2 linked regions of the Astyanax mexicanus genome follow. The protein of the gene in region 1 interacts with the protein of each later gene in a pairwise test. Links are inferred from orthologs where the notes say so. Each region holds a gene or a part of one and is shown in the gene's direction. Other genes may lie near its edges. The genes, in order: cass4 and cdc42ep2.

Region 1 (15,485 bases):
AGCTTGTTTAATTACTATGATAGTCTCTGTATTTACCTCTGTCCTGGTGTGTGTTGTACTGCAGGCGCGGGTCTGAGTGGGCGTCAGACGCACCGTACTCAGGGCGTGTTTAATCACACGGAGGATTATATCCTGCTGCCGGACGAGCGCACCGTCAGCCTGTGCTGCTGGGACTCTCGCACGGCCGAGCGCAAGAACCTGCTGAGCCTCGGACACAACAACATCGTCCGCTGCATCGTCCACTCACCCACCAACCCCGGCTTCATGACCTGCAGCGACGACTTCAGAGCCAGATTCTGGTACCGACGAACCACCACCGACTGAACCTGAGAGAGAGAGATGAAATGAGATGTGAACAACCTACCGAACCTGGGATCTGTGATGACCGGCCTTCACCACTAGAGGGCTCCATTTCACTATGAAGACTTTTACATACCAGTAAACTGTTTATGAACTGTTTCAATAGTTATTAACTAGGTTATAAATACTTTAAAACACATTAATAGAAAGGGAAATCACTGTTGCCCTTTCTGTGTTTGTGTTGTAACTGTATTAATGATTTTTAAAGTGTTTAAAACTAATTAATAACCATTAATTGAATCCTTTATTACATGGTATTACGTGTTTTTTTTTATTTTTTACAGACGATAGGGAAAAGACTGATGAATTCAGTACTAAGTTTAGTACTGGTGTTGTATAATTTGATCAGCTGGAAAAAAAGATCCTTTTCTTTTTCAGTTCATGTTGGAACACTTTGAGCCTTTTTTTTTTAAATAAAAGATTAAAAGAAAATTGGGTTGTTTTGTGTTTTACGATTTAAAAAAACAAACAAAAAAACTCATTTATTTAAATAATAATAGTGTGTACAATCAATCTGAGTTTACAGCTCAGCCTGAAGGACTAGAAGAAGAGCTTATTTTACACTGGATACAGAATTTAAACAGGTACATTGAATGTGTCTGTTGTAATTGGGTAAATAATGTTTTATAAATAAAATATTTTATATTTTAATTAAATTACAGTACAGAGTAACTAAAGCTACTATGATACAAGATAATGAATAACAAACGAAAATAAATGTCTTAAATGCAATTTAGCAAAAGTACTGGTAAATGTTTAGTACAAATACTGAAGAGTCCAGCACGTCTAAATACATGGCTACCAGTTAAGATAATATTGACAATTTTACATAGACATTAGACTTACCCAAAACGACGGCTTCATTTTCAAGACATTTTGGGGTCCAAGCTTTTCTGTATCCACTGGTTCAGTACAAAACAACAAAGAAAACAAACAAAAAAATAATTTAAATTAATTTAATTTGAACACAGTTGTGCAAGTTACAGTTTGGGACATCTAGTTCTGCATAGCGCCACCCTGAGGTAGGTAATACAGTCTGTAGAGATGTGCGTCCGGACGGGACTAAAATTACCGGAGGAGCACGGAGTTCAGAGAAAAACAGTAGATAATTCAGCCTGTAATTTATTTATCAGAGGACGTCTGAGAAAAACACGCACATGATCGTTCTGGACAGGAATAAAATCACAGAGGATAAAAATTACCCCAGAACCCCCTGAGAAACTAATCCCATCATACCATCACATCTCTAACATTTACCATTTAGCTGTGTGTTTTTTTTTTTTTTTTTTTTTTCAGAACGATTGTGCTGGTAGATGGTTTTTAAACAGAATATAAATACAGCTCTGTAAAAAAGCACTTAAAAAAAACTCTGGAATATAATCAAAACTGAACTGCTTTAATTTCTGCACCAGGAGTAAAGCAGCATAAAGTTATCCAAAAGCAGTGTGTAAGACTGGTGGAGGAGAACATGATGCCAAGATGCATGAAAACAAAAACTGTGATTAAAAACCAACCAGGATTATTCCACCAAATATTGATTATTTCTGAACTCTTAAAACTTTATGAATATGAACTTGTTTTCTTTGCATTATTTGAGGTCTGAAAGCTCTGCATCTTTTTTTTTGTTATTTCAGTCATTTCTCATTTTCTGTAAATAAATGCTCTAAATGAGAATATTTTTATTTGGAATTTAGGAGAAATGTTGTCTGTAGTTTATAGAATAAAACAACAATGTTCATTTTACTCAAACATAAACCTATAAATAGCAAAATCAGAGAAACTGATTCAGAAACTCAAGTGATCTCCATTTTTTTCAGAGCTGTATATATATATATATATATATATATATATATATAGCCTATACAGTATTAGAAAACTGAAGGAGAATAGATGACCTAGAACGGATGACCTAAAAACTGGGTGGTTTGAATTTCGGCAGAACAATTCTCGTTAAATATGTGCTGGTGGTTATTTATCTTGGTTTCCTGTTCCAGTCATTAGCTTGTAGCTGGTGGTGAACTCCGGCTGCTGGCCTGAGTGGAAATAATCTTTCTATAAAATAAATACCTTAGAAGTAGCTGAATGCATCAGTATATTAGTAAATTAGGACATGTGTAGGGGTGTGACAATATATCGATATTGTGATATCACATTGTGATACGTGGCTTCAATTATGGATGCTTTTATTAAAACATTAGCGTTATAAACTCTCTAAAGCTCCAACCAATTAGACTAAAACTTAAGTTGCTGCTTCTTTACTAAATAAATAAATACTAATAAATCCATAGTTGCTGGTATTTGATTATTTAGGAGTGTTTTACCCTCCTCAATAATGTAGATGCTGTGAAGTATCGTAGAGAACTGTATTTCGATAAATCGAGCATAGTGATGATGGGATATTGTCGTTATTGTGGGAAATGTATTGTGATAATGTTGTATTTCTATGATTCCCTTTCTTTATATGCAATTCCACTGTTTTATATCAGTTTTAGAAAGTCCAAGTTTTGGTTTTGCTATTTATAGGTTTATGTTTGAGTAAAATGAACATTGTTGTTTTATTCTATAAACTACAGACAACATTTCTCCCAAATTACAAATAAAAATATTCTCATTTAGAGCATTTATTTACAGAAAATGAGAAATGACTGAAATAACAAAAAAGATGCAGAACTTTCAGACCTCAAATAATGCAAAGAAAACAAGTTCATATTCATAAAGTTTTAAGAGTTCAGAAATAATCAATATTTGGTGGAATAAACCTGGTTGTTTTTTAATCACAGTTTTAATTTCATGCATCTTGGCATCATGTTCTCCTCCACCAGTCTTACACACTGCTTTTGGATAACTTTATGCTGCTTTACTCCTGGTGCAAAAATTCAAGCAGTTCAGTTTGGTGGTTTGATGGTTTGTGATCATCCATCTTCCTCTTGATTATATTCCAGAGGTTTTACATTTAATAAAATCAAAGAAACTCATCATTTTTAAGTGCTTTCTTATTTTATTTCCTTATTTTTTGTCATTTTAGAAGTAAACAAATGTTAGAATCTGATATGCAGAGTTTATATCAGACCTTAATTGAAAAAACAGCAGCCTGAGTGAAATTCCTTTTGGTGTCGTTTAACAGATGTGAATGTTTTTATTCCAGGAGAGAGCTGTCTGAGCGTCAGTAAACCAAAAAATCTCCAGACTGGTCACTTAATTCCTTATATTAAAACAAGGACAGAAATGTGGATTTCCACTGATAATGTTAATCCAAATTAATTCAAAATGTGTGAAATTATTTTATTAATTCATTACTCTGTAGGTAGAATAGAGTATAGATACTAGAGTTTAATAAAATACTTTTGTACGTTAAAAAAAGTATCAACTCAAGCTTTTAACTTTTACTTTTAAGTAAAAGTGTTTTAAAAAGTACTGGATTTAAACCTTATACTTAAAGTATAAAAGTAAAAGTAATGTAAGGAGAAAAAATAAAGTAATCAAGACTAAAACCTTTAAAAGCTTAGGCCACACCCACGGGTGTGATGGATCACAGTATAAACCAATAGGGAGTCAGAATGGTATGTGTTTATACTTCTCTACATCCAATCACAATCAGATTCACTCTATCTGGATGGAGAGATTTATCTGGATAGGGGGTTTATTAAACGATGAGAAGCCGGAATGAAAACGATCTGAATTAGGAACTAGGAGTAGCATGGCTGTTTGTTTTTAGAAGTAGAAGTAGTTTTATTTAAACTTTTACTCAAAAAGTAAAAAGCTTGAGTTGATACTTTTTTTAATTCTACAGAAGTATTTTATTAAATTCTAGTATCTATACTCTATTCACCCTACAGAGTAATGAATTTAGATACTTTTCACACCTTTGATTATGTTTCTCTTTATATAAATTAAATTTAAAGAGTATTTTAGTGAAATTCTTTGTGGAGTGATTGCAGCAGATGTGGAGCATCACTGATAGATTGATGGGAACTCTTTCTGGCTGGGTTTCGTTGGTGAATACCAGACCACGACTGCAGGATCTGCTCCAGTCTGTCCTCCAAAACTTCCCCCAAACCATAAACCCCATCCCCCGTCCCCCCGTCCCCGTCCACCGCTCTTTGTGTCGTCTAGACAACAAAGCAGAAACTCAGAAGAATCCAGGTCTTTAAAATAAGCTGTCAACAATAAATCAGCTCAGACGCTGGAGGGGATAGACTCAAACACACAATGGACGAGTCTGAAACTGTGCCTGTTCACTATATACTGTTCACTATACACTGTTCACTATATACCGTTCTCTATATACCGTTCACTATATACCGTTCACTATATACTGTTCACTATATACTGTTCTCTATATACCGTTCACTATATACTGTTCACTATATACCGTTCTCTATATACCGTTCACTATATACTGTTCACTATATACTGTTCTCTATATACCGTTCACTATACACTGTTCTCTATATACCGTTCACTATATACTGTTCTCTATATACCGTTCACTACATACTGTTCACTATATACTGTTCACTATATACTGTTCACTATATACTGTTCACTATATACTGTTCTCTATATACCGTTCACTATATACCGTTCACTATATACTGTTCTCTATATACCGTTCACTATATACTGTTCACTATATACTGTTCTCTATATACTGTTCTCTATATACCGTTCACTATATACCGTTCTCTATATACCGTTCTCTATATACTGTTCTCTATATACCGTTCACTATATACCGTTCTCTATATACCGTTCTCTATATACTGTTCTCTATATACCGTTCACTATATACTGTTCACTATATACTGTTCTCTATATACCGTTCACTATATACCGTTCTCTATATACCGTTCACTATATACCGTTCACTATATACTGTTCACTATATACTGTTCTCTATATACTGTTCTCTATATACCGTTCACTATATACCGTTCTCTATATACCGTTCTCTATATACTGTTCTCTATATACCGTTCACTATATACTGTTCACTATATACTGTTCTCTATATACCGTTCACTATATACCGTTCTCTATATACCGTTCTCTATATACTGTTCACTATATACCGTTCACTATATACCGTTCTCTATATACCGTTCACTATATACTGTTCTCTATATACTATTCACTATATACTATTCACTATATACTATTCACTATATACTATTCACTATATACTACTCACTATATACTATTCACTATATACTCTTCACTATACACCATTCACTATACACCGTTCACTATACACCGTTCACTATATACCGTTCACTATATACTGTTCACTATATACCGTTCACTATACACTATTCACTATATACTATTCACTATATTCACTACAAAAAAGGGGAGAGAGAATAGAAAAAAGACATAATATGGAACAACAAAGAAAGCAGAAGAGCTACGAGAAACATATTTACACTCCACTGTCAAGCAACACCTTAGCAACCACCTAGCAAAGCCATAGCAGCCACCACTGCAACACCTTAGCAACCACCTAACATACCTTAACAACACCATAGCAGCCACACTCGCATTTTCTGCAGGAACACCTAGCAGCACCTTAACCCCACAGCAGCCCCTATAAACACTACAGCAGCAACAAAGAAGCCACCTAGCAATATCTAGCAACACCTTAACAACACCATAGGAACCAACACTGATACCACAGCAACACCTTAGCAACCACCTAGCATAGCGTAATACCTCAGCAACCACCTGGCACCCCATAAATCGGCACTGCAGCCACACTCGCACTAGGTGCAGGAACACCTAGCAGCACCTTAACACCACAGCAGCCCCCTTATACACTACAGCAACAACACAGCAGCCACCTAGCAACATCTAAGCAACCATCACAGACACCATATCGACACCTTAGCAACCACCTAGCAACACCTTGACAGCCACCATAGCAGTTACCACTGACACCACAGCAACACCATAGGAGCCACCTAGCAACACTTGCAATACCTTAGCAACCACTTCACACCCCAAAAATCAGCACTGCAGCCACACTCGCACACCACTCTAGTTTTTATTTACTTTTACTTTTGTCCCAAAAATTGTGTGTCTAACTGTGTGTGTGTGTGTGTCTAAATATGTGTGTGTGTGTGTCTAAATGTGTGTGTGTGTGTGTGTGTGTGTGTGTGCAAAATAAAGCATTAACTGTAATGAATAGAAGTAGCATCACACCGGAAACAATTAAAGGAAAGAGTGATATCAGTGGGCAGCACACACTCACCCACTACTGAACACTGCTGCATTTCTCAGAAGAAAAAGAGGAGGCGGGTGAAGACAGAGGGGCGGGGACAGCTGTGGACAGGCGCTGTGATTGGCTGAGGGTCCGAGGCAGACTGAACTACCAGCAGAGTCTTCCCTCATTCACTCACTGCTGTAGAAAGTGTGTGAAGAGATTGAGAGATTGAGAGAGAGAGAGAGAGGGAGGAGTGTGAACTGTTGGATTAATAGTGTTAAAAGTGATATAAAAGTGAAGGAGAGATCAGAGGTGTAGAATCAGAGAGGAAGAAGGTTTCTGCTGTAGAGCTCTGAGATCTACTGCAGCTCTAAATGGAGATTTAACTGGATTAAACTGCAGACCAGTGATCGGAGACGGAGATGGAGGTAAGCACTGATCAATACTATCAATACTATCAGATCATCTACATACAGCTCTGAAAAATAAGAGAACACCTAAAAATGATGAGTTTCTTTGATTTTACCAAATTGAAAACCTCTGGAATATAATCAAGAGGAAGATGGATGATCACAAACCATCAAACCACCAAACTGAACTGCTTGAATTTTTGCACCAGGAGTAAAGCAGCATAAAGTTATCCAAAAGCAGTGTGTAAGACTGGTGGAGGAGAACATGATGCCAAGATGCATAAAATTAAAACTGTGATTAAAAACCAAACAGGATTATTCCACCAAATATTGATTTCTGAACTCTTAAAACTTTATGAATATGAACTTGTTTTGAAGCTCTGCATCTTTTTTGTTATTTCATTTTTGTTAATTCAGCTTGATTTCAGATGTGTGCACCTTTTTGATTTTTGCTTATGAATGGAATGTATAATTATTAATATATTTTTATCTATATAAACAGTCAAATATAATTTGCTGCAGATAATTTACATACCGAATATAAAATAAAAATATAAAGTATTTTATCAACACACACACGCACATTGCTAACTTGCATTTGCTTTATATATTGTCTCAAAAGTTTACGAGAAATTGACCAATAGAAACGCTCTACATTATGTGGCATACATTTTTTCACATTCCATTTATTTAGTTAAGATTTTATGTCTCTCCTGTAAAGTTGTTGTTTTGGATGATGCTGGAATAATGGTTAAATCAGCACAATTGCATTAACTTTTACTCTAGTGATTGGTATAAATTATTATTGATTAGTGACTATTTTTAGTCATTATTGTTTTGTGATTTTTTTTTATATCACAATACATACATTGCACAACAATATTCCAATATCGTACAGCCCTAATAGTGATAAACACAGAAAAAACAAACAAACACATGAAGCATCAGCAGAGTTTAGTAACTTGGTGTTTGGTTAACCAGAAGTGTGGGGTCCCTCTGGGCTCTATCTTAGGGCCTCTGAAACTGCTGTATCGGTTATTAATGTATAGTGTGAGAGAAGTGTGTGGATTACAGGGTTTAAGCGTGAGTTAACATCATTAAAACTAACATTAATTACCAAAGTAACAGTATCAAACACTGCTGAAAAACTTTAGTAAGGAATCATGTAGTAACTTAAAAGTGTTAAACACTCTGTGAAGAGTTTAGTTTTTTATTCTTTCCTGGAGCGGTCCTGATGAGTGCCAGTTTCCTCATTATAAAGTTTTTGATGGTCTTTGCGGTGACTGCACTTAAGGATGCTTTCAAAGTTCTTAAAATTGACTTTATATATTAACCTGGATTCGAACATTACTCAAATATTCACTATTCACTGTATACCTGTAACTCTACCTCTTCACTACTTTACTTTAACTGATGCTCTCAAACACTTTATTAAGAGACAAGAAATTCAAGTAATTAACTCTTGATGAGTTCAGCACAGCTGTTAACTGAAAGCCTGAACTCCAGGAGATTCTACCTCCTGTTTTGATCTGGGTCAAACTGACCTGTTTTAAAATGTATAGATCTAGGAAAAATAGTTAAAATGATTTTTTTTCAGTATGAAAATGGTTCATCTTACATTTTTGCAACCACCCCTTGCAAAAACTAAAACTAAAACTAAAACACAAAATTGCAATGTTATTTTTTAATATTAAATAAAACTACTGTATTTTATATACGTTGGTGTTTCAAAAGTAGTGAAACATTAAGAAAAGTTTGGACATTAGTATTTTTTTTTTTATGAAAAACGAGTGAATTATCCTAATTGAAGCATTATTACCTGTAATTAAACATAAACCAGGATTAATCAAATTACAGGAGGGTTAACACATTTTTGTTTTTTAATTCTATATATTTTTGTTCATAGTTTGAAGAAGTTTAGTATTATTAATCTACAATGAAGAACATTTTTAAATAATTAAAATACAACAGTGAATTTTAAGGCGTGTCCAAACTAATAGTGAGTTAATAGTGATCAGCACTCTTTATGAGGGTCACTTTCTTTCTTTTTCTTTTTTTCTTTTCTTTTTTTTTTGCGTGTGGACCTCCAGCTGCTGGGATATCAGTCTAAAGGCTGGTGTCAGCTCACCATCCTATTTTTTCATGCACCCCATGACCTCCTTTCAACCCCCCCACCCCCAACCCTGAAGCCCTGCTTAGAGCTGCAGTGTCTGCTGTGAAATACGATACTGAGAGAGAGAGAGAGAGAGAGAGAGAGAGAGAGAGAGAGAGAGAGAGAGAAGGGGACTTTATTGGTGTCGTTAACTTGTTGCTTTCCTCCAGGAATCCCTGGAATTAAGTCGAGTAGAAAAGACGTAAACCAGCGTACAGACGGGCTTCTGGGTAAAGTGTTGAAAGACCTCGTATCTCCCTGAATCCGCGCTGCTACACTGTCGTCAGCTGAACTCAACACTCAACACCACAGCTATTCTAAGACTCCTCGAAGCAGAAGTGGCCTCTGTGTAGTTTTTTTTTTTGTGATATCGGTTGCAAAAGTAATAAATGCAGAAGTGCAGAGGATTTAAAAGTAGAGTCTTAAAACAGACCCTTTAAAAACATTTTTAACCTGTGTGAATACACAAGTTAGAATACTGTAGGTCTGTCTTCTATACAAAACATGTTTTGTTTTATACCAGTTTCAGTCTCTTTCAGAGTGTGCTGTTTAAGGGCTCTGTCACTTTTATGCAAATAAGCTGTTACTTAGTGGCATTAGTTTTAGCTTGTGCTAAATGGGAAAACAAAAACAAGCTAGTTCATGCTACAGGCAGTAGGTACAGATCCCTCCCTCAGAAGAAGTCTCTGCTGACTAATCCTGCTGTGTACTGAGGTTCTCAACAAGCAGACACAAATTATGCATATATTGGTGTAATTTTCACAGAATTGAACCTTATTAATTTGATTATAGCCTTACCATGTAGAGTATTAAAGCAGTAATTTTAGTAAATGTAATTAGAAGGCGAGTCATAGGGATTTTAGAGCGCGTATCTTTCAATAAAAATGTCCATATTTTATGCCACATGTTGATAAAGTATTGCAAAACAAAGCAGCTAGAGAGAGTACAATTGGACATGTTGTTTCTCCATCAGCAGCCGGACTCTGAGAGAGTACAGTTCAGTAGGTCATGCTGTTTCTCAATCAACATTTAATATAGATAAATAAAATACGTATGTAAAAAGGATATAAAATTGAATATTCTAAAAAGATCATAATCAAAATTGACACACAGGTGAAGAAAGTAAATAATTTATAAAATATAAAATGAGTAACAGAAAATAATAAAAAAGTAAAAGTAGAGTAAAATGATAAGAATGATAAGAAATGATAAAATTAATAATAATGAATTAAGGAATTAAATTGAAAACATAAGAATAAAAAAAGACTTATTTAAAACATTTAATCACATACTTTCTGATGGTGCCTAGAAACTAAATTAACTACATTTTAATTAGTCAGTGCATCAGCAGCCGGAGTCCGAGAGAAGTATAGGGGGAGTGATGGGAGAGTACAGTACTAATGAGTGGGTGGGAAAATTAGCTTTGCAAATCGAGAAGAAAATGGGATGAAATTTGAATTAAATTTAAAATAAAATTAAAATTTAAATTTAAATTTAAAATTAAAATTAAAAGAAATAAAAGAAAGGAAAGTATAAAGCAGCTTTAAATAGGCACAGATCTATAATGCAGAGTTTTGCTGAACGTTTCTGTTGGTTTTTGGATGATGGGTGACTCAGTCAGGGCAGATGATTTGTGTCTGTGGAGGTTCCTGGATGGACGTGAGCGTCTGCAGATGTCCCCGTCCCCGTCCCCATCCCTGTGTCTCTCTCAGCCCGGTGTCCAGCCTGCAGGATGCTGGCTACAGCTGGACGGGCTGAGAGCAGCAGGAAACGGGGAGGAATCTGAGGGACGTTTCACTATGAACAGCTGGATCTGAGGCGAGAGATAAATGAGACGAGAGATCGGCTGTGTTTACACTACAGAACCAGATCAAATTAATCGCTTCCCGTCTTTACTGGATCTGGGTCACGGCTTTAAACAAGCCTTCAGCAGGTGCATCGTGGGATAGCGGTCAAAGAATGTGAAGTAGGGCTGCAACTAATGATTATTTTGGTAGTCGACTAATCTGGCGATTATTTTTCCGATTAGTCGATTAGTTACTGATTATTTCTGCAATGCCCTCAATCATGCCCGAGCAAGATGTACTTTTCCCGTCGTTATGACAGCAAAGACGCGCAGACACTGGCAAGAATGTAGCCGACAGAGATCTCTCACCATAAATCTGTCTTTTGAAAAGATTTAGGACCGTATTTTAGAAATCTTTAGGCGAGCACTCAACCGTGCACAATCTTTGCTGTCATAACGACGGGAAAAGTACACCTTGCGCGTCTCGAAATGCACAAATTACATGTGCTAGTTCCCTTAATTAATCAATCATAGATGTGTTTTGGGCATAACATGAATTAAACCAATCAGAGTGTCATTTGCTCTTCATTCTCTTAAGAGCCAGGTGTGCTCTGACTTTGGTGGATTGCTATTTCAATGGCGCAGCACAATTAAATAGTAGATAAGCAAACAATGTTATGTGAATTGTTTAATTCTGAGTAATGGTTTCTCTGAGAACTTATTGGACTTAAAAATCGCAGCAACACATAATCTATAGTAGGACTGCAACGATTAGTCGATATAATCGACAATGCCGATTATTTAAATTTGACTACTATAAATTTAATTGTCGACTAATCGTTAAACACTTAACTTAAAGTTTACACTTAGTTTGTGTCTCTTAACGTGCCCAAACACAACAGATACATATTTAACCACTAAATATCAGTATTTTCCATGTTTAAACAACATCCAGACATTTGAATGCCTTTTAAATCTCATGTTCAGCTGTTTCTATCATTTTTAGAGCTAGAGGACAAGAATAATAATCATCAGATTAGTCGACTAACAGAGTAATCATTATTTGCAGCCCTAGTCTTAAAGTACTAAACATCACCTTTAATGCTTTAATTCTTATTTAAATTCTTTTTTTGAGTGGTCGCTCTGCACTGTAGTTCAAAAAGCATCCAAAAAAACACTCAACCCAACAGAGGTTTCAATTTAAATGTGGGTTTTAAGGCCCTCTGAATGTGCGAATGACCTAATTCCCCAACACCCACCTACTCTACGGCCTCTACGAGCACTCGACATGTGGTTTATCGTGTGTACGGTACTTTTTTTTTCAATCCTAGCCCCCTTTGAGTCACCCATCTCTAATAGAAACTTCTGTACAGCAGAGGGAAGTAGCTGAAGTTGGTGAGAAAAGTTGTGAGGCTGTATTTCAAGGCCTGTTGCTCAACTGGTTTATTGCGAGCAGTGCCCACAGATACGTTATTTTGTAGTACTCGTTGTTAGGCATAACGCAATGTTGGCTGAAATACAGTCTGACTTAAGGAAACTAAAGAAATGTATATATAGTTAGTATATAGTACATTACTTTAAAGCGATAAGTGACTTCAGCTAAAAAAAAAAAAAGATCTACAGTTACAGTAGATACAGAATCACCAGCACTGTAATCTGTTGTACCCATAATGCTCTGTAATTAATCTACAGTTACAGTAGATACAGAATCACCAGCACTGTAATCTGTTGTACCCATACTGCTCTGTAATTAATCTACAGTTACAGTAGATACAGAATCACCAGCACTGTAATCTGTTGTACCCGTACTGCTCTGTAATTAATCTACAGTTACAGTAGATACAGAATCACCAGCACTGTAATCTGTTGTACCCATACTGCTCTGTAATTAATCTACAGTTACAGTAGATACAAAATCACCAGCACTGTAATCTGTTGTACCCATACTGCTCTGTAATTAATCTACAGTTACAGTAGATACAGAATCACCAGCACTGTAATCTAGCCCAGAAACTGGGGCTTTCAGCAGATATAACAGCAGAAATACAGTATCTACTGTAATATGAATGTACTCAGCGAATAATAAATGAATAAATGAGAGATTATGAGTGATGTAGCTTAATAATCTGTAAAAAGCAGAACTTCTTTTAGTTCCTCTTCAACATCTGGCATTCACTCAACTCCTACACCCACCCGGGATCATCTTCCTCCATCGGAAGCTGAACGAAGGCGACAGAGTGCGTGTCATTCGGAAAAACTACATGACTAATAGGGCATGACCTCAACCCAACATCCAACATCCACATTTTCTTACTGAACATCAGTAACGGCCTTCAGTCTTCTCAGAAGACTTTCCTTCACTCTTCTGGAGAAGATAGTAGACTTAGAAACATGACAGTAGGTAGTGCTGCTTCTCCATCAGCAGCTGGAGTCAGAGAGAGAGAGAGAGAGAAAGAGAGAGAGAGGGAGTACAGTAGGTAGTGCTGCTTCTCCATCAGCAGCCGGAGTCTGAGAGAGAGAGAGAGAGAGTACAGTAGATCATGCTGTTTTTCCATCAGCAGCCGGAGTCTGAGAGAGAGAGAGAGAGAGAGAGAGAGAGAGAGAGTACAGTAAGTCATGCTGCTTCTCCATCAGCAGCCGGAGTCTGAGAGAGAGAGAGAGAGAGAGAGAGAGAGAGAGTACAGTAAGTCATGCTGCTTCTCCATTAGCTAAACAGAGAATGTTTGAGGAAATTTAGTCCGGGATGGGCTGTGTTTTAAAGCCGTATTCCACGGCTCTGGTGTGGGAGTATTTTGGGAGTATTTTGGCTTTAAGCCAAATGAGCGAGGAGAACCATCAACGCGAATCAGCTGGTATGTTTACAAGGTTTCACAACAGTGGAAACAAAAGCTGGCAATACTACTAACCTGAGATCTTATTTAAAACACAACCATCCAGCCCCATTCATGCAGCTGAATATTAAATATAAAACTGTTCCACCAGAGAGATCCTGCCTTAAGCCTCCACACAGTAAACATGCTGCTGTTTCTTGTTCAGAATTTGTCTGCCAGTTACATTAAAAAATACATTTATAGCAGGATCAATGTGGCCTGCTGAGCTATATGTGCATAAATATATATATATGATCAGAAAAAGGAATCTGCAAGTGCCCATGTGTTCTGATTAAAAAAAAAAATGAATGTAAATGTTACTTTAATCTATTTGTTGTTACTTTATTTTTTGAATAAGGGTCTGTTTAATATTTAGTGCAGTTTTTCAGAGACCAGGGTGTTTGTACTTTATTTGTTTTAGTTATTTAGAATATTAAAATATTTTTATATTGGGAGCCCAGTGTCTGCTCTTAATAATATAAAGTTAGTTTAACTGTAAAATGGTGTAATAGTATTATGCTAGTATATTATATTATTATTGTTTAAACTGCATGATGTCATGTCTCGTAATCAGGAACTTTAAGTCATGGTGGTTTTGCACAACACACAGTTATTCAGCGAATTTTCACCAGCAGGAATCCCCACTGCGTCTAGTGTACGGTCTCCAAGGTACGTTTCATCATGAAAACACAAGCAAACACAACGGAATTACATGTTTTTTTATTTAATAGTGGTGTCAACTGATTAAAAACCTTTATCCAATTCTTCTTAAGAAGCTATAAGCTATTTTTATAGTGGGTATTTTAAAAAATATAAATAAAGAATGAATGTAATATAAGAAATGTAAAACGTGATTATATATGTATATTAGTTCTAAAAAGTGTCTAAAATTAAAATACTAGTATATACTTTTATGTTTGATGGGAGATAAACCCTAGACGTTGGGTGCTGGAATAAATAATGCATGATAAATTGGATTTTTTAAATATTTTTTTTACGTTATTATAATCATCTCAGCTTGTTTGTAAGGATTTCTGAATTAGATCTTCATTAACTGAGTATAAAAGAGCGTTTTCACACCTGTAGTTTCACACCTGGTTTCTATCGTCGCTGTCCAAAGAAAAACAAGTATCTTGCAAAAAAAAAAAAAAAAAAAAAAAAAAACTTTACAGGAGGGGGAAAAAAAACCTTCTACATTTTTAATGGAAGTCAATAGAATAAAAAAGAGTAAAAAGAGAGCAGACCAGGGGACTTTTCTTGTAGCCAAGCTTATAGATGATGGTCAACTTCTGCCCTATATATATATATATATATATATATACAGTGAGTCCAAGAAGTATTTGATCCCTTGCTGATTTTCTTCGTTGGCCCACTAATAAAGACATGATCATTCTATACTTTTAATGGTAGATGTATTCTTACATGGAGAGACAGAATATTAAAAAGAAAATCCAGAAAATAAATCTAAGGAATATATATTAATTGATTTGTATTTCATGGAGTGAAATAAGTATTTGATCCCTTAGTATTCATTAGCAGTTCTGGCTTTTACAGACCAGTTAGACACTCCCAATCCACTTGTTACCTGACCTGAAGCCACCTGTTCTCACTAATCACTTGTGTGAAAAACACCTGTCCACAGAATCAGACAGATCACACAGATTTCAAGTCTCCAACATGGGTAAAACCAAAGAGCTGTCACAGGACC
Region 2 (16,474 bases), on another chromosome or scaffold:
AGATACAGATGTTCTAATAGCCAAGTGAAGTTTGTTGCCTAAAGTTTGCTTCAATTTTTTTTCTCGAGCTACAATGCTAATGTGGCTAATAGCAAATAAATTACCACCAACAACAGCAACAACCACAAAAACACTTGATGTCTAATAAATGGTCACACACTTGTCTCAAGCTATGTCACACTGTACATCACCAAATTTCAGATACTTCCCTATGTGGTTTCTGACACTGTTGACTACATTGTGTGAGCTAAACATGCTGCACAGCTAACTAGCAATATTGTAGGCTATGTTTAAAGAAACCAGTGTGTCATACATGGGCACAAACAAATAAGCAATAATCTTTTTAGGATCACTTTAAACAGCTGTGTGGTGAAAAAGATTCGAACAGTGCTAACAGTATGGTGGTGGCTACACAGTAGCTTACGTAGCTTGTTAGCTGCATTTGCCTTAGAGCTGCAGTACAAAACTTTAACTAATTGACTGCTTTAATAGATTTAACTGGTTTTTGAACATTTAGAGAACTTGCAGTATCTGGATTGTATCTCAGTAAGACTTTAACAACATACATGTACATTGTTTTGTAAAATGCATCTTCATTCACTCTGCTGTGAGTTGATGAAAATTCACAACAATTATTGCTGGTGTTTTTTCATTGTCAAATGCCGTTGTTGTCTTAGAGAGATGTAAGTGTTTACACTGTTATAACATGTGACTCAAATTAATCTCCTTTTGATTTGTATCTGTTTTAAATGTGTTTTAGGTGCGTTTACACTTGCATTTTTATGTGGATTGGCCTAATCCAAAAATGATCCTGAAAACTAAGATGCATGAGTCTGTAAACAGAGTCTAAAATAATTTTGTACATAGCTGAAATAATTATGAAAAGCTTATAATGTGGGTCATACAGGTACATTTTTGTCATTCATGCCCTTAAATTGACCTTGGTCCAAAATCCCTGCCGCACTGTAAAAGTTAACTATGTAAATAATTTGTAAAAAAACTTTTATCTTGAGGATAGGGAGCCTGTTTTTCTACTGTTATGCAACCTATTTTTCCTTACTAAAAAGTGCACACAATGAAACCATGTATATCTCTGGAAAAAAAGATGATGGGTGATCACAAGCCATCAAAACAAGCTGAACTGCTTTTGCACTAGGAGTGACATAAGGTTATCCAAAAGCAGTGTGTAAGACTGGTGGAGGAAAACATGCCAAGATGCATGAAAACTGTGATTAAAAAACAGGGTTATTCCACCAAATATTGATTTTAGATCCCTTAAATCTTTACGAATATGAACTTGTTTTCTTTGCATTATTTGAGGTCTGAAAGCTCTGCGTATTTTGTCATTTCAGCCATTTCTCATTTTCTGCAAATAAATGCTCTAAATGACAATGTTTTTATTTGAAATTTTGGAGAAATGTTGACAATAGTTTGTAAAAAAAAAAAAAAAAAAAAAAAATGTTCATTTCACTCAAACATATAAATAGCAAAATCAGAGAAACTGATTCAGAAACTGAAGTGGTCTCTTCATTTTTTCCAGAGCTGTATGTGGTTCGCCTGCAGAAATCCTAACCTTTTATGGTGACCTCTTGTCTTAACAATTTTGATTAGGAGAATGGAGCATCACTGCAGGGTAAATCTGCAAAATTTCACACAAACTAAAATGAAAAAAGAATATTACATAAACAAATTTATAAAAATAGTACTGAGTTTGCCATTGCAGTATGTGCACCTATCTGCTGGCATGTTTATGTCACCAACCAAACAATATCTGGATCAGTTGTGGTTCACTATTGCAGCAACAGTTGTGCTACACTAACTAGAACCCTACAAAGTACAAATAAATAGTTCTTATAGAATCTTATTTCTGGCAAAATGGCCAATGCACATTGGAACACACAAAAAAGTGAGAATTGTGAATATTGTATAATGTCCTTATTGAGAGAAAGACATAATTCTTCAATATGAGGCTGTATATGGCCTTCCAGAAGTAACAGAAGCTTCAGCCCGCAAACGAAAGCTCCTTGAATTTGGCAACTAGCCACAGAAAATGCCTGACCAGTCAAATGCCAGTGACTGGTCAGCTGAAAACATTCTAAAACAAATAGCAGCAGACGCCACACTGTGGGGATTCTCCAGTTAGGGGGAAGATATTTACTGGTTTGAGGTCAGTCCTAATAGTAGTGTGGTCAATTCTGTGCGTGTATGTTGATGTTATATAGGATTTATATAGGATTTGTTTGCTGGTTATACTGTATACAATCATATGCAAAAGTGTAGACATCACTGGACAGATCTTAAAATTTCTTATTGTAAAATAATAGGGAGAAGACACAATGTATTTTTGCAAAATAGGTTCTTAATTTCAGAGTTTATAGGGAAGGGGAGTCTGGGAAGTTTTAATAGTAACATCTTAAATGAATCACTAATGCCGCAAATGAATTGAGTAGAATACTGAATTATATCAGCACTGACTGCTGTTAATGGTTTACTGTAGAAGCCTCCATGTGTGTGTAATAGTTTAGGTATGACTATGAGTCAGCGTGTATTTGCCGGTGAACGCCTTTCACTGGAGCTTTCAGGAAGCAGCACTGTGGAATGGAGAGGATAAATCCTGCACTGGGGTGCAGAGCTGCAGGGTAGACAAATGGAACTTTTATTGCTCTGTTATTGAGATAAATATCTATTATTTTAAGATATGGGATTTAAGTGCAAATATATAGGCTGTACGTGAGCCTCTCCGCATGTATCTGTGAAAGGAAATAGCTTAGTATTGTTTCAGCAAAAGGTTTAGATCTACATAAGAAATCTCATTAGATTAGATTCTACATAGTACAAGGCAATTAAGTGCGTAGTAGGTCATCAACATCCGGATTAATACCACAGTGTTAGGTCGGTCTATAACCATACTTATAGACCCACAATTCCACGCTTGGAGTTATTAGTATTACTGTTGTTGTGCCAGATTCCTATATTTCTAGCAGTGGCTGTGCTCCAAAGCCTAGGCTGCAGCCTCAGTGGGGCGGGTCTTCAATGGGATTGTCCTTTTTATATATATATATATATATATATATATATATATATATATATATATATAGAGAGAGAGAGAGAGAGAGAGAATTTTATTTCTAATTTGTTCCCATTTTCTCCCCAATTTACACAGCCAATTATCCAACCCACTCATTAGGACTACCAGGAGGGTGTAGACTAACACATCAGCTCACAGATGCCCTGTGCTGTGGACATCACCCTAGGAGTGATGTGGGGAGAGAGTGCCATCTATCCACCCGGAAAAAGCAATTGTGCTCCATCTGAGAGCCAGCAGCTTGATGGGGGTTCGAACTTGCGACCTCCCGCTCATAGTGGCAGTGCTTTAGACTGCTGGACCACTCGGCCCCCACAAAATAAAAGTTTAATAAGGCTGCGTAGTGATGTCATCAGAAAGCTCCTGCATCTTGCAACTGCTACACAAAACTTATCAGTGCATTTGTGGGAGTGATTGAAGCTTACTGCATTGCGCCTTTTACTTGTTAATTTCTTTACGCATTATAAAAAACTACAATTTTTAAATGAACTCTTCTTTGGAGACTTGTGGCCATGAAAAATACACCAAATCACCAAAATACACCAAATACATATTCCCTGGATGGATACATCAGTATGTTCAGAAAGTTCTCACTTATAGAATATAGGCTGCATTTCTAGCCTGTATATAAAGGCGTTATAGCCTGTATCATATTGTAATAACCTTCACTCAGGTCAGCAGCCCACCTTTGCTGCAGGCTTTGGGATGCAGCTACTCTGTTAGAACATCGCCACAGTGTTGTACTGTGGGGTATACTGTATATTTAGCAGTGATTGCAATCACAAGAATTAGCATTTTAAAAGTTTTCACAAATGTCTGCTATTAGTATGTAAACTGATTTTGTGTTCCTCACTGATGATGAGGACACCCACACCAGCAGCATAAATGTTCATGGTTGCAAATTGTGTATATGTAAAGTCAAATTAAAAAGTTGCCTTAAACAGGTCTAGGCTGAGCAGCTCAGGAATCTACTAACATACTTGTTCTCCACTAACTAAAATTAAGCACTGTTGTGTAATAATATGCACTTCTAAAAAATACAGTATTAAATTAATGACAAAAAGCAGTACTACAGATTTTTGCATTCTTGCATCTATTATACTAGTAACCTACTGACTGCTAACACATAGGATAAGATAAAATAAGATAAGAGAAGAAATATAAGATAATGTTATGGGTTTTTTAAATATACAAACAATATATATATACTATAACTACATGAAAATAAATACAGTAATCAGGAACCTTCTATACACCTGAGTGCATTTATTTTGATGTTGTGATCCTTTTTTTTTTTGCTGTAACTCATGGCCACATCACCACAATACTGTTTGTGATGACTAACATGTGAATCCAAATGGCAACCAAGTCCATTTAAATAGATAGGAAAGATGTTTCATTAATTCAGTCATTCAGACACAGCCTATATGAGTGTTAGTTTCAGTTTGCTTTCTCCACAGGCTAATTTAGGAGTGTGAAATTCCAGCTATAGAGGCCCACAGCAGTGCAGAGTTTAGCATTCAGATAAAGCATTCATCAAGTCCAACATCTGCTAATTACCTAACCAGCCCTGCACCCCATGCATTCACACATTCAGATAATTGCATGTTTTAATAAATTATGTCCATACACAGATGATTATGTGACTTAGCATGCTAGAGACATCAACACATCCCAAAGAATAAATAAAAAACAGAGATTTCATTCTAAATTACACATTACCTCGCATTATATGTCTGTAAAATTAAAGTATTTACAAAAGTATTTAATCTATGAAAACCCATGAAAATGTGTAGTTTACTATACATATAGTGTGATTTAAAAAGCATCATGTATGTGTTGTCACTATTTTTATGAAGTTTTACCCGCCACACGAAAATGCTGAAAACATATATATTTTTAAAATTTCCACATTGGAGAGAAATTCAGTGATCAAAAATAGCACCTTCACGTAAATCAGAGGTCTAAACCTCCTGTTTTTAAAAATAGAAAAACAGTGTTCATTATGTTAGACGAAGGAAAATGATAAACTCCACAGAGCTTTAGCCTTCCAGCGCAGTTAGCATGTCAGCCACCAACAGTCTCTGAGTGGAGCCCCCCTGCACTACACACTGTTATGTTTTCCTATTCAAACACACCCAATTTGACTTAGGAAAAACTCTGTAATGGGCTAATGTGTTAAATGAAGTGTGCTGGAGCAGAAAATCTTTCCAGATTGTTCAAATTAGCCTCCCACTGTCAGATATGAGCAGCATCTGGTTACCCAGTTACATGTACTCACTTACTAAATGTTTCAATGGCAGTCAACAAAACAGTAATTGGCTAATGGGCAGTTAGTGTAGCGCTTAGCTTCCTCTTGTCTTTGTTCTCAGCACACCTGAAAGGCACTCCAGCATGAGAGCCTGTAAACACTGGCTTATCTAAATCTTTGTTTGTCCCATTTCTCTGAAATCCTGTCCGGCGGAAATCAGAGGGAAAACTGTTCCGAGACTCTGTTTTCCGAAAGAGCATGTTTGAGTGTGTGAGCGTCTGAGAGAGTCACTAAAAGCTGTTTACTCTTTATATAGTGGACCACACACTAGGTCATTGAAGAGCCCATAACTTACATTTAGCTTGAGATTAACTTTTTTTAATGACATGGTCTAATGCACACTTTTGGTTTAAAATGAAGTAAGCTGTTATGTTGATGCACATGCTGGGTGAGATACAATGTGCCTATGCTGGCTGCTTATGTGATTACAGACCAAGGCTTTGCAGTATTATGCTGGGGTCAACCTAAAGGTTCAGAACCCTGCTGTAAAAAAAATTCACTTCAAGGAGGTTAAAAAACTGGTAATCTAGGCAAAACATACTCTATGCTGGTAAGTAAGATGGTTAAGCAGATCTTTACCGGCATTGAATGAAGCATTTGTTTGTAATCATGCTTAGTTTTGCGGTTCCTGCTGATCCTGCTAATCCTGCTGGTTTTAGATTGACATTTACCTTTACATTTATGGCATTTATCCAAAACATCTAAAACATGCTCATGTCATTTATTCAGAACAATCAGAGCAAGTATTGATGGAAAACAAATTCTAGACACTTTGAGCTGTGATTGTAACAGTAAATAAGCCACATAATAACACTGTTAAGCCACATAATAACACAAATTGTTAGTGATACTGAATGTAGCCATGAAGATCATATTGTATATTGTACATAGCAATGAACATGTTTTAGAATATATGCTATTCTGTCAACTCAAGAGATAAACTGGGCCAAAATAACTTCATAACTATTTAACATTTTACAGCCAATCAGAATAAGTGCTGTTTCATTGTTGCAACAACACATTTTTACATGCAACTATAGAGGTTGCTAAGGTGGGCGGGAAAGAGCGTCATAGAAGTACATCAGAGAAATCGTTTGGTAAGTGATGACAACATAGCATATTTCCCTCATCACTAACAAGAGTGAAGAAGCAGTAATAAGTAAGCCTACAAACAAAGCAGAATGTTTCCCATCAATGTTTTAGCTGCTCTTTCAAATAAAAATAATGCCAATTCAGAAAGGAACCTACTAATGTTTTCATACTTCCAAAACAATTTTACTTTTTCACATTTTCTAAACAAATAATTGTTTGAGACCCATGCAAATATCATTGGTAATATATAAAATATATATTTTTTAGACCTCATTTGCCAAAAAGTGTGGCATTTTAGCAAACTCAACCCTTTTTAAAAATTTTGATTTCTCTTAGTTTCAATGTGTGGTGTTTATATGGTATCCTAACCCATACATACTGAGTAGTGGTTTATTCTATATTCTTGTACCTTTGTATATATCTATTTTGTATATCGTTTGTACATTTTCTGACACTTCTGTTCTGTCCTCTAAGTTACAAAACTGTAATAATGTAAAAAAAAGTGAATGCTGTTTGATTATTACAGGATTATCTTACCTTATCACTACCACTGTAAGAAACCTCTATAATAATCGATTTCACACCAAACTACTCTGAATGACTGAAAAATGTGTGAAATTCATTACATTCTAATAATAGGCTTTACTGTATGTATTTAGAACTACTTGTGAGAGAGAATGAGAGAGAGAGAGAGATTAAGAAAGAGGGAAGTGGGTGAGAGATAGAGAGAGAGGAAGAGAGAGGGAAGGGGGAGAGAGAGAAGGGTGAGAGGGAGGAGAGAGAAGGGCGAGAGAGAGAAAAGGGTGAATGAGGAAAGAGAGGGAAGGGGGAGAGAGATAGAGAGAGAGAGAATGGTGAGAGGCACAGAGAGAGAAGGGGGAGAGAGAGAGAGAGAGAGAGAGAGAAGGGTGAGAGAGGGAGAGAAGGGTGAGAGGGAAAGGGTGAGTAAGAGAGAGAGAAGGGTGTGAGAGAGAGGAGAGAGAGAAGGGTGAGAGAGAAAAGGGTCAGAGACAGAGAGAGAAGGGTGAGAGGGAGAGAAGGGTGAGAGAGAGAGAGGAGAGAGAGATAAAAGGATGAGAGAGAAAAGGGTGATTGAGAAGAAGAAGAGGAGAGAGAGAAAAGGGTGAAAGAGAGGAGAGAGAGAGTGAAAGAGTGGAGATTGAGAGTGGGACAGAGAGAGAGAGAGAAGGTTGAGAGAGAGAGAGTGAGAGAGAGAGAGAGAAAGTGCTCTGGAGGGCGTTTCTGGTTTCACAGTATCAGCAAACAGAGCTCAGTGTATCGGATGAAGAGGTTATTTCCGTGAAGCGGGAGAGAGAGTACTGACGGTGCAGACACGGTGGGGGTCGTTCAGGGGGTATTCTGGCTTTTTTAGCCATGAAACGAGTCGGAGATGCTCGGGCTCCCCTCGCAGACCCGCGGTTACTCAACCACGCCCCCCGAGGGCGGAGTCACGGGGCCAGGCTGAGTAACCACGAGCTCGCGCTGCACTGAGTCAGTTCATGACTGGAGAGCACCTGGAGACAGGAGGCTTTCCCTGCCTGTTCAGTACAAGGACTTATTTCTCTCTTCAGGGAGGACGAACACCTCTATAAAAAGGATTTAAACTGAGTGAGAAACTGAACTTAAAGGTAAGCTCAAAAAATAAAAACACAGCACTTATATTTGGCTTCAATTTAACTGGTGGGTTTAACTGTGGGTTTCTGTTTGTGGGACCAATTTCACATCTTAGTTTAAAAGAATATAGACAAATCGTTTTTTTTTTTAAGAAAAATTAGCATAGCTGATTTGATTAAAAATTGGTTTTAAATGTATTATCAATACTTCAAAAATGTAGTGAAAATACTGAATTTTACTGTGTTAGCTATGTAAAAGTAGTTAAAACACATTAAACAGTTAAAAAAATTAACATATTTTTTTCTGTGGTAAAATGCGTGTTAAAAATGAGTATTTAGAAAAACAGTTAGCCAAAGTAAAACTAAATTAAATACATTCAGACAAGTAGTTCTGTTTGTCTGAGAGATATTGAGCCAGCTCTATAAAAAAAGGTTTAAAAGCTTTAAATGCCTGTCCGTGTTAATCGCAGTTTGTGGAAAAAAACTGTGAGGAATATTAAAATAGAGAATCTTCTGTTTACCTCAGAAAGTAGACCAGCGGTAACTAACTGTGTTGCAAAGCTGTGTGGATAAAAGCCTATAACAATAACAGCCCATAATATCGAATAGCATATCTATTGAACACTTTAACCCAAGCGGTTTACCGCATTCACCCATTATTTGAACCGCATTAAAATCACGTGGTAACTCTGTTTGGCGTCTGTTTGCGGGTGTGCTGACCGTTGAATAGAGAACAGCTTTAGTTAGCTTTTTGTTTCGAGAACAGGCTTTTACTGAGCTCCCATTGGCAGCAAACACCTGCTTTAGAGAGCATTAACTCCCAGTGTGCTGGACATACAGCTCTGGAAAAAAATAAGAGACCACTTAAAAATGATGAGCTTCTTTGATTTTCCCAAATTGAAAACCTCTGGAATATAATCAAGAGGAAGATGGATGATCACAAGCCATTGAACCAAGCTAAACTGCTTGAATTCATGCATCAGGAGTGCACCAAAAGCAGTATGTAAGAGTGGTGGAGGAGAACATGCCAAGATGCATGAAAACTGTGATTAACAATCATGGTTATTCCACCAAATATTGGTTCCTGAACTCTTAAAACTTTAATGAATTTGAACTTGTTTTCACAATGTTAATTTTACTCAAACATAAACCTATAAATAGCAACATCATAGAAACTGATTCAGAAACTGAATTGTTCTCTTATTTTTTCCAGAGCTGTATAGCTTAAAGTTGCAGTTTGAAGATACGAATAATAAAGTTGTAATAAGGTGGTTATTATTTAAAAAATTTTTTTCTCTATTTAACTAAAACTGCTGTTTGACAGTTATAGTCTACAGTTTTCTGTAAGTGAATTGTGTCCTTCAGTGTGAAATGTAGTATGTTTTTGTAATTTCCGTTTTAACTACCTTGGAAAAACTGCACTGTTGTTTTCTTGTAGTTGGGTGGAGGCTCGTTGTGTTTGATTGATGATAAATGTGCAGGAAATTAGATGTGGAGAGGGATTATGACAGATATCCACTGTGTTGTGCATTTCCTCTCCCCAAGCTGCCTTTAAAGGCCAGTGTAGACCCCTGCTTACGTAATGGTTCTCTGAAATCATTAGGACATTACCAGGGATTTTTCCCACCTTTTCTGCAGGAACAGCCTCTGCTCCTTTGGAAAGGTTGTACAGTGGAACTTTGCTATGATAATTTGATTGCATTCAGCTAAGCTTTAATGGCTGAAACCAAGCATTGGATAGCATGGTATAAAGCCTCTCCAGTTTTGCACTGTGAAGCAGTGAAACTGTGATCTCTTGAGCTCCATCCAATACTTTTGAGATGAGTTGGAGAACTGCAAAACTAATTATCTAACATCAGTACTGATTGGTCACCTCATCTCAGAAGAGTTTGACAGATTGCCACCACTTGCACAAGTGTACAATTTAGTTCCACTTGCTAAGTACACTTGTAGACTTGTACGTGTCTAGCCAATCCTTGGCTTAAGGTGTGGTAAACATTTTGGTTTAGAAGAACCTTTCTTTTAAAGCTATTGTACAAGCTGTGTTTATGCAGTTGAATTCATGAAGATACAACATACGTACAGTCTGGCCCAAAAAAAAGGTCAAACACTCTAATATTTTGTTGGGCTGCCTTTATCTTTAATTGCGTCACATGGTTCTGCAATGTCACAAGTTTTAGTGTTGCATTCATTTTTTACTTAGATCTTACACTGATGATTATAGAGTCTGACCACTGCACAAAGCCTTCTCCAGCACATCCCAAAGATTCTCAATGAGGTTAAGATCTGGACTCTGTGACTGGACCCTGAACCACTCTTTCACAATTCCAGCCCCATGAATCTTTGTCATCAGGGAAAGAGAAATCCATTGATGGAATAACCTGGTCTATATTCAGTATATTCAGGTAGTCAGCTGACCTTATTCTTTCAGCACATACTGTTGCTGAACCTAGACCTGACCAACTGCAGCATCAACCCCACATCATTTACTTACTTAAATCCAGGTGGCCACTTTTGTTTTGGCCAGGCAGTGTATAAACATAGTCTTTACTTTTAAATCTGATTGGAATAAAGCAACTTGGATGGTTGTGGCCTAAATTGATCTAAGTGCTTTTAAACATATACATAATATGTGTTTATTTATTAACATACATTCATTTATCCACAGCCAAATGGCATCTGTGTGTGTGTAATATGCAAATATGCAAATATTTTGACTTATTTTGTCTCAGTTCTATATTGTTATCGTCATGATCTTAACTAAAGAGCCATTGGAGACCCTTTTTAAAAGTCGGACGTAAATTAAATTGTTTTTTATAGGATGATGTATCCACCTCCTTATACGCTAATATACACTCTCTGTTCCCTTTTCAAAGCCTGCGTGATAGTGTGTTCTCTACATTATCTAAGAAGTAGCACTGGCTTACTAAGTGTTTGGCTCGTCCACTTTGGCAGCACTTTTGTTTGCTGCCCTTTCCTCACTGATAAAACTCAGGAGCCTCGATTAAATAACCTTTCCACATTGTGCACTGCTACAGGATTTATTTTTCCACACTGACAGAAATGAAGCATTGGATTTACTCAATTCAAATGTTAAACAATTACTGACCATGCAAAGTAATCTGAAAGACAGCATTGTATAGATTTAATATGTTTTATTTAAGTTCAGTGTGTCATTGTTTTCAGTGTGGCACTACTAGGCAACATGTCGTCTCGGCTAGACTAGACTATCTGATGTTAGCATCATTTATTGCCTGTTTAGGCTATGAGAATTGCATCATTATGATTCAGCTGTTCTAAACACAGATAGCGTGTGATAAGGAGTATGAGTATGCTCTTCAGAATGGCCTTTTCTCAACTGATATGACGTGTAGGCCCTTATGTCAGGTCCACACATGACATCACTGATTCAAACACCCGATCCCAGGATTAGGAGCAGTGTCACGGTCTTGTTTTGATAAGATAGAGAGATAGCAAGGTTTCCTTAAACCAAGCCAGTCTGTGAGTAGTTCTTTTTGTAGCAATTAGGAGGTCCAAGCAGCTTTTGATGTTAAAGATGCTGAATTAACACCTGGCCAATTCTGGCCTTTTGAGCATCCAGATTATATCTGTATAAGGTCAAGCCACATACATTGACATATATTGATCATAAAATGTTACCTTCATAAGTTGTGAGGTGTTATCTTGTGAGTGAGGTTGAACCCTGGCCAGCTTACTCAAGGCAAGGTGACGCGAGTTATCGAAGCTCAAGCATGGCTTTAAGCAAGGTTTTATTTTGTTGTTAAATGTGTCTTGGAAGGACTGAAGTGTTTACACCGCTGTAACATGTGATATCTTGTGAATGGTATTTTACACGTGTGTGGTCTAGAAAGAAAAAAATAACCCCCTAAAACAACACAAATAGCCTTTAAACAAATGCATACAGCATGCTGAAACTGATCAGTATCATATCTCACCCTGCTGTGCATGAAATCAGTGGATATACAGGTTCTACACTGCTGATTAGCCTGCACTCTAACCTTGACACACACACACACACACACACACACAGACATTCCACTTCATTGTCTATGGTTACAAAAAGGCTTAGCAATACAGAACCTCTTTGTGGCACAAGGAACGGAAAGTTAATTTGTTAATAAAACTTTTTACACAAAGGACAAAAAGCACAGTCATGAATTTGCAGTGATTTGTAACGAGGCCAGCGTTGTTTCTCTACCATTACTTCTTTCTTTCCCTTGTTTTTCTCTCTGTTTATCCGTTGTCCATTATTGTCTCTGTTCAGTGAGTCAGCACACTGCAGCCCCTCTCTCCCTAGACAATGTCATTCTATCATTGTCTCACACTCACACATACACACAAACACACACAAAATTGCATGCACACAAACTGTAGTCAGTGTGGCTCTGTACCATCAGGGAAAGGCATCTGTCAGCACACGCATATACAGTACTGCGGCAGTTAAACCACAATTAGACAGTTAGGACAACGTATTGTAATCTGCCTCACACACACAAAGACACACACAGGCACAACATTATATTCACCACAACTCTAGCATCATCAAGCCTAACCTCTGAGACAATATTGCTACCAGTGCATCTCCTTAAAAACTGCAGAAGCAGAACTTTCCTCTATCCTGTATGTGTGTGTGTGTACATGTGTGTGTTTAATCTGCAGGATTTTGACTGCAGCAAAGCCCTCACCTCAGCAGTCCCACTAAAACTATTGTTGTGCTTCTTCCTGCGTAAGGCTAATGTTAGTGTTTCCCAGTAGAAATTATGACTTTTAAACTGCTATTTGTAAATGCTATCCCACACCAGGTAATTTATCTTAAATATCTAGATTATACCTACCGGTATATAAGGCATATACACTGATAGTAATGGGTTAGCGGTGTGTAGATTGACCATGAAGTGTTACCTTAGGTAAAGTTTTACCTTAGGTAACTGTATAAGTTTTGGAGAGTCACTTTGTGAGTGAGGTTGAACACTGTCCAGCTTACTCATAGAAATGTGGCAAATTATCGTGCATTTACATGCACTTTATAATCCAGTTTTAAAAGGATATCTGCAGTTATCTGCATATTATTATCACACTAATAAAATACTGTGATTTGTTTTATCTTAGTGAGATCTAGAAATCCGATAATACAAATTGTATTGTATGTTCTTGGATTTCTCAGTCTGTACATGTGTGAACTGTGTGACTGCGGTACTGCGGTACTGGAAATAAGCTTTACAACATATTTAAGTTCACGTAAATGCATTGATCAGATAGCTAACAAACTCTGATGTTCTGCAATCATCTGATTATGAGGTGAATGTAAGTGTACGCAATCATTTTTTTATCAAAATATGTAGCATTTCCTCTAGTTGTGCTGTTGTTAAGAATCTTTAAGCACTAGTTATATTCTTACTGTGCTTATAAAAATATATTAATACAATAAAAAAAATCACAGTTTAATAAAGTCATATTGTCTAGTACTAGTAGAAAAACACACATTCTTTTGGTTTTAGCTGTTCATGTTTGTGCCTGTGTGTGTTTGAGTGTGCGTATGTGTGTGTGTGGGTGAGAAAGAAAGGCTGTAGCATTTAGAAGCAGTCATGCTTGTTGGCATTGAAGAAAACCTTGCACACACATGTGTTAGCAAACACACACACACACACACACACTCACACATTCCCATTCACTGTCATGGTTGGTGTAACCTGAGATGCATGACTTAAGGCCAGAGGAATGTAAGTCATACTCTTTCACCACAGTGTGCTCTTGCAACATACACACACACACACACACACACACACACACACATAGAGGCGTCCACACATGTTCAATATATAGACACATCCTGACACGCAACACACGCAACCCATTATAACATCAATCATTCAACATACCACACACATGCACATGCACTCAAACATCCTCATGTCTGCAGACAACATGGCATTAATACAATAATCAAGATGATTATTGTGACATTCTTTCGATGCACAATATATCAGAATATTTCTTTTTCTTTTTCTATATTGCCCAGCACTTGTTTGACACATTTTTTGTGATGAAATGTAGTTGATAAATGACATTTACGAAAAAGCCAGAAAAGAATATTGGAACCTTTCCCAATATGATAAATATTGTCATATCACCCAGCTAAAAATACAGTATACAGTACAATTAGTAACGTTCTCAAAAATGCTCATCAATCTTTTCCAGTTATACTAATCAATAAATATTTTTATACAGTGTGACAGCAACTCTTAGTCTCATTAGTTTCAGTAATGGAAAAAATTTATTGCTGGCTTTTACCCAACTCTGTTGCCATTATAGCAACTAAAGGTTTTGGACTGAGAATGAAAAGGGTGTAAAGATTTTAACACCATTGGAAAACACCACCAAACAACATGTTCTACATTGCATAAACATTTCCTACCAACAGAAAAATATTCTATTATCAAAACATATGATGTTTATATGTTTACATTCCATTTAGCCTTGGGGTAAAATGATAGCTAAAGGATAGTGATAGTTTGAGTCTAGAGAGTTTACTTGAAATACCATGGAACAGGATGTTTATTGTATGCATTTTTTACTCTGTTTAGGTAATAGATTAGTTAATAGTGTTTTCTCTTTGGTTTAGTATGTTTTCACACAGGGAAAATCTAGGTGCAGCAAAATGTTCTTTGTTTATTATTAGTCAGACTTATACCACCTGGGGCAAGAAAGTAAATACAAAAGGAATGTCCTCTTTTCTAAACTAGTTCATATATCTGTACAATTTAACAACAGTGATGGTATTTGTTCATGGTTGTAATAATTATCACATTCTCACCTTTCCAGAGTATTCACACCTTCCTAAATATATCACACCAAGGGTAAAAAAAACAAACCAAAGTCCTGTTTAACCACACAAAAGTACAGGTGTGATATGGTACTTTCTATTGAATTCTCTGAATAGCAGGAAATTCACATTTAGATTACCATATTAAAACAACACATGCACATTTTGCATTTCAATACACTACCTGATGTCTGGAGAACCATATGGCTCCTTTTGTTTCTTTTTACCACAAAAGAAAGAAAACTCAGACAGAACTGTGAACGATGGTAACGACAGAGCGAGAGAAAACAGCATAATGGTCCAATTGAGTGAATTAATCAGGTGGTAGTTGATAGATTCATTGATTATATACGTCATTGCTAGGTCTAGCATTACACTCCAGAGAGACTCGTTCCGGTTTAGTTCAGTCCACTAATCTCATCAGCCATGAGGACATGACTTCTCCAGAGCTGCTCTGCCAACATTAACAAACAGTGATCATCAAAAAACCTCCACTGCTCCAGATAAGTGATTTATTTTCTGTGCTCCCTGCTTATTAAAACTCATCTTTATCTTTTTTCCAACTGTGCTGATGCACGAGGGAGCATGTTCGTGGAACAGCTCATCAAATCTGCCCTAAAGGATCTTCCATTATATAAGCATTGAGCGAGGCCCATTCTTCCTCTTTGTCTCTGTTCCGTTGCCTGTTTACTTTTTTTGGAGTTTTGGCTCCTCGGTCGGAGGTGTAAATAAATGAACGGATTAGAGATATAAATAAACAGAGACATTTCGAGGAAGAGGAGTTTACGTGGATGCGTTGATGCTATTTAGAGAATCTAACGTCTCTGTGAGGAATATTTTACATTGGAGTGTGTTTGTTGGCCATTAGAGTCTGTATGTTAACGTTTCTCTCTTTTTTTTTCTCTTTCTCTCTCTTTCTCTAGGCAGGTTGGAGTGACATTCCTGGATGTTGGAAATTCTGTTCCAGTGGGAATCATTTCTGTGCTACGTTTGAGTGGAAATTGAGTGACATATTCTTGTCCTTCACTGAGCGAGAGCCTCAAACTTGAGTACATCTCATCAGCTGGGCTGCTGTATCCTTGTCTTCTCTGTTCTTTTCTTCACTTCTCTTCTCCTCCTTCTCTCTAGCTGTCTATTCACACTGCTGCAGGAGTTGTCTCTGTGTTGCTCCGGGCAGCGGCAGGTGTCAGACATGTCTGCCAAAGCTCCCATCTATCTAAAGCGCAGGAGTCGCAAAGGAAAGAAGGAGAAGCTCAGAGACCTTCTGTCATCTGACATGATCAGCCCTCCGCTCGGAGACTTCCGCCACACCATCCACATAGGTAGCGGGGGTGGAGCTGATGACCTCTTTGGTGACCTCTCTTTTCTGCAAGGCAAGTTCCACCTATTGCCTGGGCAGCAAGCTCACCAGGGCCCGTTCCAGTTCAACCGCACAGCCAGTGTGAGCACCGGCCACCCGCCAGCCAGCGAGAGCTCTCCGCTGCTGAAGAACGCTCTGTCGCTTCCTGTCATCGGAGGAGTGCAAGCGC

The links.
Region 2: the proteins of cass4 (region 1) and cdc42ep2 interact in binary tests that used the Homo sapiens proteins (3 or more experiments, as listed by UniProt). The link is inferred for Astyanax mexicanus from reciprocal best matches to the Homo sapiens genes CASS4 and CDC42EP2.

Annotation. Positions count from the first base shown.
Region 1 is NC_064431.1:32,796,217-32,811,701, forward strand, and holds the start of cass4 (cas scaffolding protein family member 4), read left to right. Parts: upstream 1-6,753; 5' UTR 6,754-6,981; coding exon 6,982-6,987; intron 6,988-15,485. Other genes in the region: cstf1 (cleavage stimulation factor subunit 1), read left to right, coding at 65-324. UniProt on the Homo sapiens protein: Docking protein that plays a role in tyrosine kinase-based signaling related to cell adhesion and cell spreading. Regulates PTK2/FAK1 activity, focal adhesion integrity, and cell spreading.
Region 2 is NC_064408.1:32,550,643-32,567,116, forward strand, and holds the start of cdc42ep2 (cdc42 effector protein 2), read left to right. Parts: upstream 1-7,802; 5' UTR 7,803-8,116; intron 8,117-15,868; exon of another isoform or gene 15,869-15,872; 5' UTR 15,873-16,137; coding exon 16,138-16,474. UniProt on the Homo sapiens protein: Probably involved in the organization of the actin cytoskeleton. May act downstream of CDC42 to induce actin filament assembly leading to cell shape changes. Induces pseudopodia formation in fibroblasts in a CDC42-dependent manner.